Drosophila melanogaster: one gene and its partner. The protein of the gene in region 2 purifies or fractionates together with the protein of the main gene of each other region. This does not show direct contact. Each region holds a gene or a part of one and is shown on either strand. Other genes may lie near its edges.

The links.
Region 1: the proteins of cad (region 2) and Adf1 purify together in Drosophila melanogaster (affinity purification with western blotting; one study listed by BioGRID). This does not show direct contact.

The regions. Positions count from the first base shown.
Region 1 is NT_033778.4:6,657,202-6,666,849, reverse strand, and holds the start of Adf1 (Adh transcription factor 1), read right to left. Parts: upstream 4,581-9,648; 5' UTR 4,403-4,580; coding exon 4,402-4,402; exon of another isoform or gene 4,282-4,401; coding exon 4,093-4,281; intron 3,456-4,092; exon of another isoform or gene 2,794-3,455; intron 2,701-2,793; exon of another isoform or gene 2,655-2,700; intron 131-2,654; coding exon 1-130. Other genes in the region: Dpit47 (DNA polymerase interacting tpr containing protein of 47kD), read left to right, coding at 4,922-5,551, 5,609-6,169; sced (scrambled), read right to left, coding at 6,870-9,338. UniProt on the Drosophila melanogaster protein: May play an important role not only in the regulation of Adh expression but also in the transcription of other genes.
Region 2 is NT_033779.5:20,765,449-20,775,096, reverse strand, and holds the start of cad (caudal), read right to left. Parts: upstream 4,367-9,648; 5' UTR 3,990-4,366; coding exon 3,188-3,989; intron 1-3,187. Other genes in the region: dia (diaphanous), read right to left, coding at 8,507-8,979, 9,057-9,587, 9,645-9,648. UniProt on the Drosophila melanogaster protein: Caudal (cad) is one of a number of transcription factors controlling segmentation of the embryo.

The DNA of each region.
Region 1 (9,648 bases), on a different chromosome or scaffold from region 2:
CGATACTGGCGGATGGAGTCAACCAGGAATTGCATCTGCTTGAAGTAACGCCAGCGCGATTCCTGACATAGTTTCATCTCGCGGGCGAACTTGTCGCGCAGACTCTTCCAGCGCTTCGTACATTTTTGTTCTAAAATGAAAAAGAGTTGTTGGTTTATGATTATTAAATGTCCATATTTAATAGTTATTAAACTAATGTTGCCTTTATGTATGCATTGTCTATTAACCCACATTTAATATATGTATGATCCAAAATAAAGAAGCCTTAAGTTCTGAAAACTCAATCTACTATTTTATTGCTTGGTTGGTAGATTTTAAAAAGGTCGCATAAGCTCATATTTCGTCTGAAATTTGCGTCACATTTTTTTGAGAAATTACTGACTGCCTTTCTAATGACTCACTTAAAAAATAATAAAAAAAATGTTTTTAGTAAGCCGAAAATATGTATCACATGTTTCCAAAAGTCCATCAGCTAACTTAAACAATATTTTACATCGGCTAAACGGATGAGCTGGCTGACTCAATATAGATTGTTTACTCTAGCAACGAGATGCAATGTTCAAACTCATCATACACTTTCCTAAACTACCACTTAAAGAAAAAAACGTTTGCGAAGAAAAGGGCATCTGACTATTATTGCCTTCTCCCTTGGTTTTAAAATAGGCTGCAATGTGAACTGATTGGATTTTCGGGCGACCTTCGCCTTCCTTATGATCCTAGTGCGAAAAGTTAAATTTATCAACATTCTTCGTGAGCTGCAAATCCTCCAAATAAATGAAGTGATAGAAATAAATAAAAAAAAAAAGACTGTGCCTATAATTAGGTGCGTCACTGTACATATGTATGTACATATATCAGCATATCATACGTACATAAATGTACAGTTTGTCAAGAAACTGTTTACACACTGTAAAATAAGTTTAATTTTTGACTTTAAAGCTAAAAATAAAGGGTTTTTTATGCTTAATTAAACGCAATTTTTTTTATAAAATATAATTAAACAATATTTATTTTACTTATAAATCAAAAAACAAATTAAAAATATTAAATATACAAGAAAATAAACAACAAATTCCAAGTTTACACACTTTTGAGACTGTCAAGAAACTCTTTACACAAAACACTAAATCGAAGTTTAATCCTAAATTTTTTAATTATTTTATTAAAATTTTAAAAGTTTTGGTATGTAGTATGTTCCCCATTGGCTTTAGCTACAAGTTGAAGCCTTTTTTTCATGGATTGGACAAGTTTTTGCAGGTCATATTCAAACGGGATCTTTTCACACTCTTCGACTATTACAGTCATAAGCTGTTGTTGTGTTTTAGGTCCCTTTTTGCCACCTTCTTCTTTAAGTAGGTCCACAAATTTTCAATGGGGTTCAGATCAGGACTCTGAGGGGGCGTATAGATCACTTTACCACAGTTATTAAGGCGCCAGGTGCGTACATTGCACTCTTTATGTTTCTGATCATGTCCTGGTAAAACTTAAAATTTGGCTTGTTGTTGCTAACCAGACTAATTTTTTCTACACTGGCCTTCAAATTTGTTTTCTAACATTTCTAGATATTGCACGGCATTTATTGTGCTCTCAATTAAGGCTAGTTTTCCCACTCCACGGCTGGTGATACAGCCCCACACCATCAGTGACATTTTTCCAAATTTTATCGTTGGAATGATATTTTGTTTTTCTAGCGCACTCAACGGTTTGCGCCATACTCTGCTTGGCCCGTCGTTATAAAAGAGCATCATTTTTGTTTCGTCACAAAATATGACGTCATCCCAGTACTCTTCCGCATGATCCATCATTCACAGGGAATGAATGACGCTTTTCAATATTGATCTCTGATAGCAAAGGCTTTTTTCTTGCAACTCTTGAAGAGTACCTATGGCGTAGGATGACTTGGCGCACAGTTTCGTGTGACACAGTTAGGTGACATTCTTCCCTGATATCCTGAGCAAGTGATCTGACCGAGATTCAGGGGTTCGCAATCACTTTTCGCATGATAAGGCGGTCTACTCGCTTGTTAATTTTGGTTTTCCGCCCACCACCACTCTTAGGTTCAAGCCTGCCCTCTTTTTCCGAGCCTTTTAAAACATTGTAGACGGTCTTACGGGATACAGGAAACATTTATACTAATTCTGGAAAAGATTTTCCCAACTGGTGGTTATAGTTTATTAATTGGGTAACTTCAAAAGTTAATCTCTTTCCAGGCATTTTATTAAATTTAATAATTCGCTTTAAGCACGTTTGATCAGCAAAATTTCACAAGCAAAGTCAACAAATTTCAATAGAAGCGTTGTAAAAAGCAATGCAAAGCCAAAAATAACGGAAAAATCGAGTTCGTTCTAAGAAAAAGAACAAAACAAAGTAGGAAAACAAAATGTGTAAAGAGTTTCTTGACAGTCTCAAAAGTGTGTAAACTTGGAATTTGTTGTTTATTTTCTTGTATATTTAATATTTTTAATTTGTTTTTTGATTTATAAGTAAAATAAATATTGTTTAATTATATTTTATAAAAAAAATTGCGTTTAATTAAGCAAAAAACCCTTTATTTTTAGCTTTAAAGTCAAAAATTCAACTTATTTCACAGTGTGTAAACAGTTTCTTGACAAACTGTATGTATTTTATTTTATAGGGTAACCCGTCAAATGCTTGATAAAGTATACCTCTATAAATGAAAAGAAAAAAGAAACCAGATTCGTAAGTAAATGAAATGTTTCTGAAAATATTACAAATCTAATATAAACTAAAATCTTGTTTCTGTTACATTGAATAAATGCTTTTTTCTCGAAGACCTGTTCATAACAACCGGTGCAAGCACACCTGCGCAGCTGTGCGTGGCGGTTCTCCACAGAAGGTTCTTCAAGAAGCTCTGGACTAGTGTAGTCCGGAACTGTGCAGAAACTAGAACTATGCCATCAAACCCACCCAAAGAAGCATCAAATCGGGAACCAAAACAAACCGTTGGCAGCAGCAGCGTCGGTGGCAGAAGGAAGGCAGCGGACAGCAGCTTCCCAGCGCCAGCAGAGACGTTGACGTGACGGTGGCTGTGACGTCGCCGACTCCCGCTGCCCGCTGCCAGGAGACGGAAACCTGTGGCATTGCTGCTGGCTCCACTTGACTGCAACTCCAGCTTTCCAGCCACCTACTTGCATAATCGAAAGCGGATGAGGTGCAGCGATTTGGCCGAAAATTTAAGGTTCGATCAACGGCCGTCGAGGGGGTGGGGTGAACGGTACATTTTGTTGGTATACTCATGAAAACGAAACGAAAGCTGCCTGGTCGGTCTCCGGTATGTACAGTGGGACTCTGAAGTGTTGACACAGCTGTTCTAATTTGTGCTTATCTATTGACCTTTCCAAAGCCCTATATTTTAATTTTCCGAATTCTCATCCTATTCAATATTAAAATAAAATCCATAGTTTCGTCTAAAGAACTGAGCAACTTATTTATTTTACTAATAAATACGTATTTATAACCCGTGCCAAACTGTTTTCTGCCACTGTATGCTGTATGCATGTATACGTGTGTGAGCAGCGCACATCGCAGTCGCAGTGTACGAAAATAAACGCTGGCGCAAGCAGAATGGCTGCGGAGCGAGCGAGACAACTACTGCGACGCGACGGCAAAGTACAGCAACTTCAAAAATATCGACTGAGCACAGTCTGCACACCGACAGAGCAAGCAGGGCCGCAGTCCGAGCGCCCGAAAGGGGCGCTCATTTTAGAGCAGATCTTTACAGATAGAAATTAACCTAGGTTTAATTACTAATGAACTGTATTCTAAATGCAACCATATAAATGCAGTAAAAAAAGTTCGCATAAAATGCAATTTATGAGCGGTGCAGCCCGCGCCCACCCTCACACGTATAGATCCCCCCCTGCCATTTCCTAACCATCAGCCAGCTACTGCGCCGCGTCGCCGTTCACTTTTGCGTCGTTTTCTGTCGTCGTCGTCGACTGACTTGTCCCGCCCCTTCGACCTGCGCCCGCACAGAATTAATCAATTGGCTGGGGCTGGTTGGGGCACGGACCGAAGACGGCTGACAGAAAGCAGAAAACCCGTAGCCAAAACCAGCCGAATTTCACTTACCAGGCACACCGAGCGTTTCGGCGATTTGTTTCCAGGTCTGGGCCTTGCGCACAAAGTGCTTGTAATTGTAGTGCGACCTGTCGTATATCACTGGGTTCAGCTTGACAGCCTCGATGAGATTGAGATCAAACTGCTGCTCAAGATTGGCATCCAGCTTGTCCATCTCAATGGCCGCCGTGAGGGTATGCACTGAGGGGACAAGACGGGGAAACAAGAGTTACAAATTTAGCGGGGACGAGACGGACGTGGACTGGGTCGGATCCCAGTTCCAAACTGGGCACACGGGCTCCCGCAGCCGACGACACTCACTTTGCTTCTTACGTTTGCTAATTGTTGTTAAGTATTTGGCGCGAACGCACGCTCTGTTTGTTTTTATTTTGATTGGTTTCTTCTACGAGGAAGGAACGTCGACGTTTTAATTTTATTTCTCAGTCGCGTCTCTGCCAACGGTAACGGTACGTCCCAGCTCAGTCGCGTCTCTGCCAATTAGGGGTGGGAAAACGCCGATGAAGGGGTCATCAGCGCATCGATAATTTTAAAACTCTCATACAATAACAATATGTTATGGCGACTATCGATGTTTCTGATATATCACAACAGCTGCGTAAAGCGTCAAAAGGCTTAAAGTTTTACCATGTTAAGATTTAAGATGTTAAGATCATAATTCGTTCCGAGTTTAGCTCGTTTAAAGAAGGAAGCGTACGACTATCGATAGACGGAGGGCCACCCTTATTTTAGAGGCGCCACCTTTAGGAAATGTGCGGCACCTTTGGCCAGTTGGTATATTGTAACGGTTCGTCTGCGGTCACACTGTTTCTGATTAGACCAAATGAAACAAATGGCGGCACAAAAAGCCTGGACGGATGAGGAGCGTCTGGAGCTGGCGGCCCAGCTGGACGCGGAACTGGATGCGTTTATCGATGGCCTGGAGAAGAAACGTTACGAGGAGGGCTGGCCGGAGGACCGCTGGCAGGAGGAGATGGACAAGCACCCGTTCTTCATGAAACGTGCTCCTCAGCCAGGGGATGACGTGCATCCGATGTTCGAGGGTCTGCAGAAGCTCAAGTACGATCCGGAGGAGAACACGCGCGACGAGCTGGCGCTCAACTACAAGGAGGATGGCAACTTTTACATGAAGCACAAGAAGTTCCGCATGGCAATCTACAGCTTTACCGAGGGCATCAAGACCAAGACGGACAATCCCGACGTGCTAGCCGTTCTCTACAACAACCGCTCGGCGGCTCACTTCTTCATCAAGAACTACAGATCCTCGCTGAGCGACGCCCAGCGAGCTCTGTTCTACAAGCCAGACTACACAAAGGCCCGCTGGCGGTCGGCACAGTGTGCGTACGAGCTGGAGAGGTTCGATCTGTGCACCCAGATGTGCGAGGAGCTGCTCGAGGTGGACGTCGACAACGAGGTGGCCATCGCGCTGCTGCACAAGAACAAGATGAAGAAGGTTAGAATACGTGATCCAACTGGATAGGAACCCACATTAAACAAGTTATTTCCGTAGCTCGAGATAGAACGCAATCAGCGCAAGGAAGCTGCCGAGGCAAAGCGACGGCTTACACGCTTCCACAGACTCCGCGACGCCATCGAGCAGCGCGCCATTAAGTTTGACGATCAAAAAGTTGGCAAAAAGGACGTCCTCAGTGAGGAGCTCCTTTATCCAAAGTTTCTGCCTTTGGAGGACCATCCGGTGCACCTAGACGAGGACGGCAGCACTCTGATCTGGCCGGCTGCGTTCTCCTACCCCGAGTTCCTGTACAGCGACTTTTATCAGCAGCTGCCGGAGACCACCACCATGCGGGATTGCCTGGCGACGCTGCTCACCGAAAAGCTGCCATACGACAAGGCACACAACTACCGCCTGGGTAACGTGCACGTTTACTACGAGAACCGCAAGGTGGGCTGTGTCCACAAGGTGGACGAGGAGAAGCAGCTGGCCGAGATAATCGCCGAAAAGGGGTTTTTCGTTTCCGGTGGCGCTCTGCTCTTCTATGTGGTGCACAAGGATTCGCGAGTGGAACAGGAGTTTATAAACGAACGGCGACGACCCATGGTTTACAGTTAAGACAGTGAGCAAATAAAGTGATTCCTTCTTGAAAACAAACAAACACCTTTTCATTTGCTTGTAAAGTTTACTTCATTTTTGTGGCATATTTTATTTGTAAGCTTATGGTTTAGTCACGGTACAGTTCAGCATTGGTTATGCTATCTTGAAGCATTTTATTGTAAGTTTAACTAATCTCTGATATGTTATGCGAAGCCGAAAAGCGTAGTTCAGGCTACGCCGCCAAAAAATATCTGATGCGGCGTAAGCCCATTTTGGTAGACGATTAATCATCTGTAGAATTGAAAATTGTTTAGCTAAATTTAGTTTTTCTTTAACAACAAGGCGCCTAAATGAGTCAACAATGTGGTTTTTGGTTTAATACGTATAAAAGCGTTTTTGTAAATTTTCATAATTGAGCATATTCTTAGACATTCATCGTTGGTTCACAACAGTAGTAATACTAGGGGACCCCCCAAGTGGATCCGGATATGGTTCGTTAAAATACATTTGACAAAGCAGGATGACCATACATATAAGGCTTAATACTAAGTGCATCGTGGGAAAGCGTATTATATACTCGGATAACATAATAATCAACTTGTCGAACTAATCAGATCACATTCACAAGAAACTACAACATAAATAGCGAAATGGTTAAAAAGCAGTTTGTGTCCACAGCGAAGTGTTAAACATGGTTACGGAAAACGGAGAATCCATTTTAGTGCTGCGGCGAAGGTGGATTTCTCTGGAGGACACTATTGAGTCTCATCTTCAGCGGCGAAAAGTCAATTTTCTTGAAGCGTGGTAGGGAGGCGAACTTTTTCATGGTGCCTCCCTCGGGCTGCAACTCATTGGACGTGGCCACAGACTGAATCATGGGTTCCAGACGCGCTGGTGCGGGCAACGCCTTGCTGGGCGAATGCCCGATTTTGGCCAGCGTCGCATACTTTTGCAAAAGACGACTAGCCTTTTCCGCCGCTTGAAAGCGATCCTCGTACTCCTTCTCCAGATTTGGCTGTACAAAGCATTCGTTCGCTACGGGAAGAGCAGATGCTTTCGCCTTGCAGGAATCCTCAGATGCTTGGCTATCATCAAACTTAAAGTCAATGTTCTTCAAAACGGTCAAGTGCAGCAGTTCGTCATCCACGCCTTCATTGTTATTGTTATTGTTGCTTTGGTGGGTATTGTTGCTATTGGTGCTGTTCGGACGCTTTACCGGATGGGTGACTGCATAAACACTGTCAGAAATTTTGTGGGCGGCAGTCTTTTTGGTTGAGCTTTTAGTCTTGGCTGATACTGATGCTGATGAGATGGTGGCCGCCTTGTGACGCTGCTCAATGATTTGCTGGGGCGAGGAAATGTAGAGGTTCTCCTTTCGTTCACGTCGCAACTTGGAACTGACTAAGTGCCTAAAACTAGGTCCATGTTCGGTGGGACTGCGTCGCTTTGACTTGAGTGTGTCGCAGCTGTTCGGATAATAGGAGGGTATCTTGTCGTCCACACTGATAATCGACTTTCTTGGTGTCTGGTAGTAGTTTTCCTCCTCTGGCTTCTGTTGCAAAGTTTTGTCCTTGGGCGTTCCCTTTTGCGGCAAGGCCGGCGCCAGGGGAGATTCGGTGGGTGTGCTTGTGCTCAGTCCAAAGCCGACAGGCTGCGCCTCCAGCTCCTGTGCGGCCTTCACAGCCAAAAGGTTCTCGTAGAGGTGTTCCGCAAATCCAGCTGCAGCCGCTCCGACGGTACTGTTCAGAGAGGTTCCATGCATGACTTCGTATATGTCACTCTCATTGGCGATCTGCGTCTTGGTGGGCTGGTCCTCCGTGTTACAGCTGCTGGTGGAGGAGCAGTAGGAGCCCGTGGAATATCCGGAGGATGTGGACACTGTACTGCCGCCTGGCTGTGGTGGCAAATCTTTTACCGTCGCCTTTAAAATGGGTGCCATTACACAGTATCCCGTAAGGTCTTCGTGCAGTATCTTATTTTTCTTTAGCTGATTACTCTGCGGAACAGCTCCATGCGATCCAATGAGATTGATGGTTGACGTGTTACAAGCGGAAAAGTTGAAGTTGTACGGAAGTTGCTCCGAAACATTCAGACTTTCCAAAGAGTCTGCTTTGCCCAATTGGCTAGATATTTGCGCAATAATCTCATTGCGAGAGATCGGCTCAATGACCGACTCATCCAGACTAATGTTTATCTCCATGCTCGACTCATGGTTCTGGGCCTCGAAGTATTCTCCAAAGGTGTCCAGCAGATTGAGTTTGGACAAGTCCGGACTTGAGAAGCTATTACGCTGAGACTTGTTCAACTGGGATGTGCGCTTTACCGGAAGCACAGGCTCCGGCGTGGGGGCATTCTCATACAGTGGCAGGACCTCATCGCTGGGTTCATTGGCCACCTCGCTGGTGCTGCCGGAACGCTTTTGACGTGAACTCCCGAACAGGTTGTCCAGCATGTTCTTGTATTTCTTCTTCTTGGCCAGCTCCGATTCGGGATTGGTGCTGGACCGCGCAATCTCGCCAAGCTGGGCGCACTCAAAAGTGTTTATTCGCTGACGGTAAGGATGTGCGGGCAGCGGTGGCGGTGAAGGAGTCTCCATGACTGACGGCTTCATCTCTTCGTAAATGCCGGATGCGATTGAGACGCGGGAGATGCGGCTGCCGTCAAAAATCTCCTCGTATATTTGCGAGACTCGCGGAGAGAGAGCGCTAGCGTCGAGGGTTTCCGGCAGGTTAGGCAGTGGGCCCAGACCTCCGGGACCCCTGCTCAGCCGGCGCTGTTCTAGAAAGACCTGGCGATAAAGTTCCAGATTCTTAATCGACTTCCGCATCCATTTCATGTGACGTCGGCAGGATGTCTCCGTTTCCAGGGCGAAATAGATGAAGCAGTCCCGCCGATTTTGCGTCCAAAACAGCCCGTACGAGTGCTGCTTCGTGCGCGAGGTAGCCAGGCTCAAGCTGACGCCCGGAACGTTTACGGAGACGCTAATGGGTTTAGCGGGGTGACACTCTTGGGAGTGAGACTCGGTCTCCATGGCCTGGAAACTGAGCCGCAGGAAGCAGGGCACACACTTAATGGCCTCTATTTTCACTTGGCAGCGGGTCCATGTCTTGTAACGCAGCGCCACTGGTCGCTTATCGTGTGTATCCAGCTTGGCGTCCATAGTCATGGAGATTTCGTTGTGGTCCATCTTGGGGCTACTGCTACGTGGTGGGGCGGATGGAGGTGCGGTGAATGAGTTGCGAGTGAAAAATAAAAAAGTAAACGATCTATATCCGCTACTTCGAGAATTACATCTTTTTTGCGACTGGGTGGAGCTCTTATCGGCTATTCTCTTATCGCACGTTTATCCTTCGTGTCCTCGTGACGTGACTGGCGTTGCCACCTGGCGGAATATCACAGAAATCGCGTTTCTAGAAGACCAACAAATGAATTTATAACTTCAATATACATCAATCAAACTTAAGGTGCTCAGCCTAAGCTACACAGCTCTTTTAAGT
Region 2 (9,648 bases):
CCCCGGAATCCCTAGCGCCTCCAATATAAACTCGATACGCCTCGAATGGTATATCAAAAACATGTACACGAAAGTGGAGACCTATGCGTATATGGACATATATACGGCTGTGTGCGCAGGGCTTTGGGACAAGACTCGAATTTCTGGTTATTACCAATATCAGGGCCAATACAAATAGAGCAGGAAAACCCAAACACGATTCTATTCTATTATTTGGACAACTAAGCCCAGAGCAAACGACACATTGGTAACAAGTCCGTGACAAACGGACAGGGAGATGGGACGGCCTGGCCAGCGAGTTCCAATGCTAATCCCATCATGTCAATCACCGATCCAAACGCACACTCCACGTAGATCAGTCGCAGCCAAAAATCGACTTCATTTTTGACCCGTGCAGGAGCGGAGGAGGAAACTTTGGACGGGTGAACGGGAAGGGTAAATGTCATCGGCAAACAGCGATAGTGCTGATAAGGAAACCGAACCAAACATATTTCCACTGCAGCTAGTGGCCATTTTCGATGGCTTATCTTGGGACCGGGAACGGTACTGGTACTCGGAGCGGGACCCAGACCAAAATCGGACCACAAAGGTATCCCATCCGCGCCGGTGGAGCAGTACAACACTTTTCAGATGCGTCGGGAAAGCAATATAAATCCAAGCCCGCCATATATTCCTTCTCTCTCTCTCTCTCTCTCTCTTTTTCGATTATTTATGTGGCTAGATATAAATTTTCTGTGCATATTGACACATTAAATCTCAATGTGTCAGGTGGCATTAGTTTTTATGTCCCAACACGGGCAATGCTGAAAATCTACAGACAATCCCAGTAAGAACTCCTTGGGCCCCTAGATACATTTGGTTCTCCGGAGAAATTATAACGACAATAAATTACGGACAGCTAATAAGCAAAAATGTATTGCTAAGTGCGTTCAATGCAATGAGATGTTGGCCAATCGAAGGATCAAAGAATGAGGAGCCTTATTTGGGCAACATTGGATAACTGATACAATTGGTTGGATACTTTAGCCAACTTTGGCAAACCAGAATTGTTGGAACTATCCTTTTCTGAACTATGGACACTTAAATTTCTTGCCGTTTAATAATGATTGCATAGATTTGATCGTAAATGTCGCTATTTAGTTTTTATTGGAAGTAATACTAATTTTTATTGGTTTACGACCCTATATTGTTTTAATCAATATGCCCGTCGCAAACGCAGCGGAATCGCTTATCAACAACGCTTTTGACGTTTTAGATAACACGCAAAGAACTCTTTTTTTTTTTTTTTTTGTGGCCACGTTTCCATATCACTCGGCACATTATTGAAGCAACAGAAAATAGAACTCGCAGCCCCATGGGTTGGGTGGGGTTTTCAGGACTTATTGACAGGGCGGGCGTTTATTTGATTCCCCACGCTAGCTAATCTAATCGAAAAACCCGCCCGAACCACCAGCCATTGAAACAAAAGTACACGGCATCTGCATCCAGCGACAATCGTGGTTGCCGTTTTATTGCCACACCCCGAAAGCTGAAGTGGGCCTTCGACGTGCCCTGCCGCCACATGCCGCCACATGCCGCGCAGACAACGGAAAATGGACCTTTTATAATTCTATCAAAAATCACGAAGTGTTAGTCACAGCCCCCCTCTTCTCTTCTGTTGGAAAAGGCAGATTACTAATTATTACTCGATTTGGCGAGACCATCAATTCAAAGAAAATGCCAGAGAGATAATACCTGAGCAAAGTGTTGGCAAAAGGTGCTGCTGATCGCTCATAGTGGCTGTAAATAATATCTAACTTTATTTTTATATAATATTTATTCTTACTTAAATATTTGTGCTTTTTAGGCAAATGAAATACGGCAAGAATTACAATCAGTCGCGCGTCAGAAAGGTGACATTCAGACAGCGGAGGCTAAAGGGGGTTTTGAATAATAATAAATAAGGCAAACTTGAGTCGCCTTGTCGGCTTGATCAGCTGGATTAGCGGCCATAAACGCTAATTGCATGCCAACAGATTTTATGGGCTTAATGGATATCGGCGTTATTGTCGATATCGTCGATATCGTCGTCTTCATTTTCCCCTTCTTGACATGCGCCCGGGTCATAAATCGTGAACAAATGTGTGAGTGGTTTATTCCTTCTCATGTTTGAGATCGCTGCACTGCCATCTGAATTGCCTTTGCTTGTTTTTCCAGAGGTGTAGGAAAACACAGCAAACAAAACGCAAGAAATCCACATAATCACAGAAAATTTGCATGAACTGAGAGAAGAGAGTCGAATTGGGTATTATTCACTTATTATTCAGAATATTCACTATTTTTAGAAAATAGTGAAACCTTCAATTAGACACTCCACATAATGCTAATTGCTGTGAAATAGGTTCCGAACTCCCTAACTTTCCTAAGCCTTTACAGTCCAGTCCTCTACTCTGATGGACTTTCCATCAAATGCTGTCTGGTTATTGGTAAGTTGATCAAACCATTTTCAAATGCTTATAGTTGTTAAGTTGATTTACGATACAAAATTAGTCAATGGAATCGGAATCGAGACGGAGACAGAGTGGAGCAAACAAACAGAAACACTCATGTGGACGGTGAACACGGGGTGGCCATAAATCAAGGCGTCGGATCGGGGATCTCGCGACCCCAACTGAATATCATAAAAGTGAAGCTTGAACAGAATTTGATTTTTATGAGCTAATTGGCCATTTGGACTTGGATGCGCGCCAGGCAAACGGATTCTTATAAAAGCCCATATATGTACCGTGAGAGATGGACAGGGAAAAGCGCGAACAGCACGAGCTTGGCGGGAAGACAATGCAGTGCATTATGTGCTGGGCAATATGGAATCTTCGGGTTCGGAATGTAGCCAGGCGGATGCGGGAGAAACCCAAGCGCAGGGTACGCGGAATCGAAGGTCAGTGGAATGACTAAGTAGCTGAATACACAAAAATTCGGGTAATCGAGGTCTTTCGGACTAAAAGCCTTCGGTGAGTAAGATCTTATTTCACATTCGATTAAAAAAAAAAAACTCATACAAGCTAGTGACAATGGCAAGCATAGACCTTAACTTTGCAGTAAAAGCAGGTTATTAGCCTTACTCATAAAGTTATGAAGTAACCGATCATACCCCCTCATAAAACACTAAATCTGTATTTAATATATTCTTGGGTCTCTAAGGACTCACCTGGTTGTGGTTGTGCTGGATAGGCGGGCTTCTTCATCCAGTCGAAGTATGGCGGCTTCGATGGCGATGTCCTGTTGTTGTTGCTCACCGAATTGTTATTGTTGTTGTTGTTATGGGTGGATGGGCTATTGTTGTTGTTGTTGTTGTTGTTGTTGTTGTTGGCGACGGCACTCAAATGGTGTGCCAAGTGATGATGCGGCGACGAGGCAGAAGTCGGCGCCCCCGGGCTAGAGATTTCCGAGCCCGAAACGGTAATCGGTGGCGACGGCAGACCTTCGGCGATGTGCTGCTGATGGTTGGGTGGTGCGGAACCTGGTCCTCCATCGGTGGCCCCGCCAACACCACCGCCACCGCCTGCTCCTCCGACGCCGATGCTGCTGTTGGTCTCGTTGAGCTGGGGCGCACCCGGTGCACCACCGCTACTGCTGCTCCCGGAACTGGCGGAACTGCTGGAGGCATGGGCGTGATGATGGTGGTGCTGCTGCATCAGCTGGTGGGCCGACGTGGGCACATTCTGAACGAAGTTATCCGCCGTGCTCGAGGCGGGTGAGTGCCACTCCCCGGCAGAGGCCGCCGCCGCCGAGTGGAACATGTGATGGGAGTTGTAGTACATCTGGTGGGCAGCGGCCGCGTGGTGGGCGGCATGCGAGGAGTCCACATCGCCCAGGAACTGGTGGTTCGGCGGCGTGTGGTGGTAGTTGGGCGTCCAGTTCCATGGCTGGCCCGCCGCTGAGGCATAGGCCAAATTGGCGGCACTGTGCTTTTGTGTGTAGGGCAGTGTGTTGTAGTAGTGCGAAACCATTTTGAGGTTAGATTAGGTGCGCTTTCTCCGAAGATAGTCCCAGTGCTCGGTCCGGTGTCCAATAATCCGGCGTTAATCTCTAAGTCTTATCACTTTGATGGCCAATATGTTTTAGTTGCACATTTTCTGGAGTTTCAGTTTGGGTTATAATGGATATATTTTGCTTTGTCAATCTTTACAGTTATCACTGGCTGGTGATGTGTTTTTTGGGAGCACAGTAACATACGACCGAGATATCGATAATATTTCGAAACGCTATTTTTCAGCACTCACTCACGAGATGGATTTTTGTTTTGCAGGGCTAATCTACTAATTTGAAATGTTATTCCGTGCGTGGCGACGTCAACTCAGTATGCAGGTCGAACACGTACTGAAACGTAGAGCAAGACTCGACTGATAAAAAACTCAAAGCAGTGGAAAATCAGATAAACAGGCAGAGAGGCTCAAAAAAAACAACCACCGCAGTCGGCACTCACTAGTTGTCTCTTTCTAGCGCACGAGCAGTGCCTTTACTTGGGCGTTTTTAACCCTCATTTCCGTTGCTCGGTCGAAATTCAAGATGGCCTGAGTGCTTGACTACCGCTATCTCCGTCTGTCTGGTGCTCCGTCTCTTTCGCACCGGTCTGCGATGGCTGGCAGGCAGGTGGCCACGCCCCATTGAGCCAGGTATGCAGTTTGTCGTAATATCTTGGCCAAGAAAACCCCTTTTCCTTTATGGCCCGCTTTCGATTTGTATGTACTTTAATTGCAATTGCCGTTGGCTAATTAAGTAATTGCGGAGATGCGTGTGTATTATGCAATTAGTGGCTGTAAAATTATGTTGCCACGGTCGTAATAGTCGCGATATATGTACCTCTATCTGGGGAATAATCAATGTTTTATCCTCCGGATTTTATTCTCCATATCCATATACCGTGTTTGATCTGCACACACTTGATGTCCAGACTTTTGGTGTTTGCCAAGCAATCGCTGTTTATATGGGCGCCTCGATATTGTCAAAGCACTATTGTTCGGTTCTAGTTGTAAAGCTAATGCCATAATTGACATGTAAGCAGCGATAAAAATTCGCAGGGAACTCAAATATAGCGGAAGAAGTCTGGCATTGATAAGGTGCAAGATGTGATACAAGGGGCTTATGTAAAAAAAAAAGATGGTACTAAAAATGAGGTGATCTTTTGACGGATCTATCATTTAATGTAAATCGAAAGTTTCCAGCTTCATTACCAAAAATATGACTAATCAATTTAAATTCCCATGAGAACTTATTTTCGATCAAACTTCGCTGGAAGTTTAACAAATGGGTGGAATTGAAATATCGATTATTATTTCATAACGACTTTAGCAAAAGTGTTACCCATTTCGTGAAGCAAAAGGCAAAATTGGCCCAATACGGTAAAGAATTAATAATATCAATAAACCCATTTACAAAACCTCCTCACTAACATAAAAACTAATAATTGAACGCAATTTGAATAATAATAAATAAATTGATTTATTTATAATTTATGACAGACACGCGTGTGATCATAAGATTGCAAACGCGCCTAATTATTATAATATATTGGCAATATAACAAATTCCAAATATTCATATTGTGGCATTAATTATAAAACTATACATGTAATATACCCTAAGATTAGAATGTGAAATCATTGTCCAATTATTTTCAAACTATCTGACTATAATTTTTCCTTACACAAAGGAATATAATATATTCATTGGAATAAGGTATAGTTGGTTAAACATATTCCTGCCTCACAAATTCCAGGTCAGCTAACACCATTCTTATTAATTTTTCGCAAGAATTTCGATACCACACAGCTACTCCCAATTGTAATCCCTAAAAAGAACGCTAAGCTCGCGCCGATTGAGTAATCCCGAGATTCCAGAAATCCTCTCTAAATCTGTAAAAAATAAATTCATTGATTGCCGCGATGTTCGATGCTCGGTATGGGATCGTAAAACTGCAAACTGCAAATGTCGCGTCAAATAATTAGAAGTGAATGCAGCTGACACAATGGAGGATAACCGACATATCCCCGAAAAGGACTCGGCGGAACACGGGAACAGAAGCACACCGGGCAGTTGGCCTCGCGAGGGAGGTACTCAATACTCACTTATTAACGCTGAACTACCAAAAACTGGTTCGGGTTCGTTTGCAAACAAAAAACCCCTTAATGTCCGTAAGACAAAACATGTTGTAAAACAATCGAAGGCCCGCGCACAAAAGGTGATTTTATGATTACGCGAACGCGATCGCTTTCGCCATAACCATCGCCATTGCGACCCAAAGACCAGAATACAGAAACCAGGATGCGATCGTAGAGGTCGCACGGGAACGAGGACACCAAACAAGGCCTGTAAGGTGGTGCTGATGCGTTGACCTGCCCATCGATCGGCCCATAAAATTCACACAACAATTAGGCAGCCACAGCCCAGATTTGTTTTTTCCTCTTTTTCGCAAACCGTCAACAATTCGGTGGAATTTACTGCGTGGGCTGGGCCTGGAAGGGTACGACCCGTGGGCTCTATAAGGCTGGGCTCCTCGTCTCATCCCAGGCACGGGCAAGTCATGTAACACGCCGTTACCTGGAAGTCATTAGGGGCGCACAAAAAGGCTAATCCCTAAGTGATCTATGTAAACATATGGTAACTCCCCCTGGGCGGCAAATTCGAGATGAATCATGAATTTTGGTCGTACAAACGCAAGATTTGATAGAAGATTGTAATATTTTTTCATCAAATAGAAAGTGTTGATCAATTACAAACATAATACATAATATTATAATATACAAACGTTCCCCGACGATTAGTTGAATCGAAAGCAGAGAATCCATTTCGAATTGCCCTTCCGGCAATGAAAGATTTATTTCAATCTGTAAAACACTCTAATGCATCTCTATCTGGCCATCGTAAATTAGAATCTGTCCCCGCCATTGACATTAACAACCTGCTACGAATTCAATGGTATTTATACATATTCCCTCAATTATGTTAATAAATCCATAAAGAAAGCAAAGCAAGCGCCATAGCCCATAAAGCAGACTCCGAAATAAAACTCAAGGGGCAATCAGACCATTACAGATATGTCCAAGTTCCAGTCCCGATCTAACAACCTATATCTGTGGCTTGGTGGAGCGTCGACGCCAGACGGATTTGAGTGTGGATGGATGGATATGTATGGATGGTAGACGTATCATTGTCGTGCGGCATTCGCTGTTTGTCGGTTCGTTTAACGTTTTTGAGAGTTTTACGGCCGTTTGCCGGGCCAAACCCCTCCAGAAACCCCTTCCGCCCACCCGCAACCCCCAGCCGATCCCGCAGCAAGTGCATTTTGCGTTGTACGAGCCGAGCAACCGCCTCCTTCGCCGTCGCAATCAAGCACCTTTATGGGTGCCGCGACATTGGCGATAAAATATCTTTGTTAATAAAACAAATTAGAGTGGAGAAGAACAACAAAAGGCGGCAAGTCACACATGGGTGGAAAGCCCAAATTGCTTTCGGATTCGCAGCCAAGCCTTCTTGTGGAATATTCCAGGATTATTGCCAATCAATTGGTTGAGAAGCAGTTGATTTGGTAGTTTTATTTTCAATATACCGTCATTGTCGAAAAATAGACATTTATTAACAATGTTATGTATAGCGCGGATTAAAATAGGATTTTAAGGTAAACAAGTTCAAAAAAGTTTCGCTTAAAAACAAATTAAATACAAAAGGAATTTTGCTTTGATATAAATCTCGCCTCTGCTCTACTGAGTGCCTCGAAAACGAAGTGCACAGCAAAATGATTGGAACATGCCACAGTAAAATAGGAATACAGTATGTAAAGACCACAAGATACAGATAAATCTTAAAGTTGCTTTCAGTTTCATTTTTAAGTATTTAGACTTACAACGACATAATTTCAGAAGTAAAAGCGTATCAAAAATATCTATATATTTAGTTTTTTCGTATAGGTAGCGAAGTTGGAGTTTTCATCGATATGCATTGCTAATTTCTTGACATGAATTTAGTTTCAACTAGAAGTTTTTTTATAGTATATTCGACTTGTAAAATTGGTACTTTAATATTGGGACAGTCATAGCAGTAAAATAAAATGTACAGCTGAAATTAAAAGGCCTGCCAATCATTTTAATTAAATAAAAGTGATCTTGTATGTGTTATTTGCATATTATAAATTCTAAACAAAATGTTATTTATTAAACAATCAATTAAATAAATACTCCAATCAATTCAAACGGAAAACTCAATCCTATAAACCAAGGACTCCGTTACAGCAATTAATAATTTCGGAAAATCCACCTGTGACTCTAGTTCCAGTTAATTAGTACTTTGCGGCTCTTGATACAGTCCTTCCTGCTGGGCATCCAATTCGTCAAATCTCTTGGACACGCCAATTGAGTTGATATGCAAGCAAGGCGACGCACACGGACTCACGGCTAATGAGCCCAGGCCCTTATATCGCTACAGATATCTATTTATATATGTACAGAGGGGAATTGCTCGTTCCATTACTTCTACGCGGAGCCTAGAACCTCGTTGAGGATCATTTCGCGGGTCATTAGTTGTCCGTTGGTGACACGCGTCCGCGATCGACTCCGGCTGAGCTGTGCCCTCCGCTCCGCTCCCGCCGGTCGTTGTCGCCGGGCCTGTCGATTTCGTTGGCCAAAGGCTGAGCCCGTTTGCAGCGCCTCCAACAGACTGTCCATCACGCCTTCCTGCGTCTGCGGGGCATCCATGTCAACCACTGCCTTCTTACGCTGTTGGCGCTCCTGTTGCTCTCGAGCAGACTGCTCTCGGGCCTCCTGCAGACGACGCTTCTTCTCCAGCTCCTCGCGTACCCGGACATTGTCGTTGTGGGCCGCTTGGAAGGCATCCTTGAAAGTCTTGATGTCCGCAAAGAACTCCTCCATTGTGTATTTGCTGGGATCGAAGGCATAGTACTCGCTGAGGTCCTTGTACAGCTTCTCCATTTGCAGCTGCATTTTGCCTGAAATTAAAACGAGATGTTAGAGAATTCGATTTTGCTCATGTAATATTCGTTCCGATCAGATGAGATAATCTTACCCAGCACGTCCACTTGTTGTCTGCACTCCTCGGCAAACTTGCCCATCACCTCGCTAAACTTGTCATCATCACACTGCGGCACCTTGTTGTTCTGGAGATCAGTTTCCAGGTTCTTAACCGCCGAATTCATTTGCCGCATGGCCTTTTGGATGGCATCCATGTTGACCCGCGACGCTTTATTAACATGCGACAGATCGTCGTAGAAGTTTAGTGCATCTGGGAATTTCTTTTCCACCAGGTCAGCCAGGTAGTGCAGCAATGTCTGCTTATTATCCGCATCCTTCGTATTGGACAGTTTGGTTAAATAACTGATCTCAAAGCCAAAGGCGGCCTCGTTTTTGGAGCCCGAGTTCATGTAATTTCCAAGCAGCAGAATCAGCTCCAAGATCTTTGAGAACTTTTTGCTATTCCGGATCTCTTCGCATGCTGCCGTTCCTGCCACAATGTCGGGTTTGATATCCTGCACCATGTCCGCGTAGGTCAGCTTGAAGTTCAGGTTGTGAAGTCGCGGCGAAAGGCGTTTAATTTCCCCTGAAATTAAGTAAAGTTATTCTGCGCCTTCTGCACTACAAACTCCATTCGCCTTACCTAT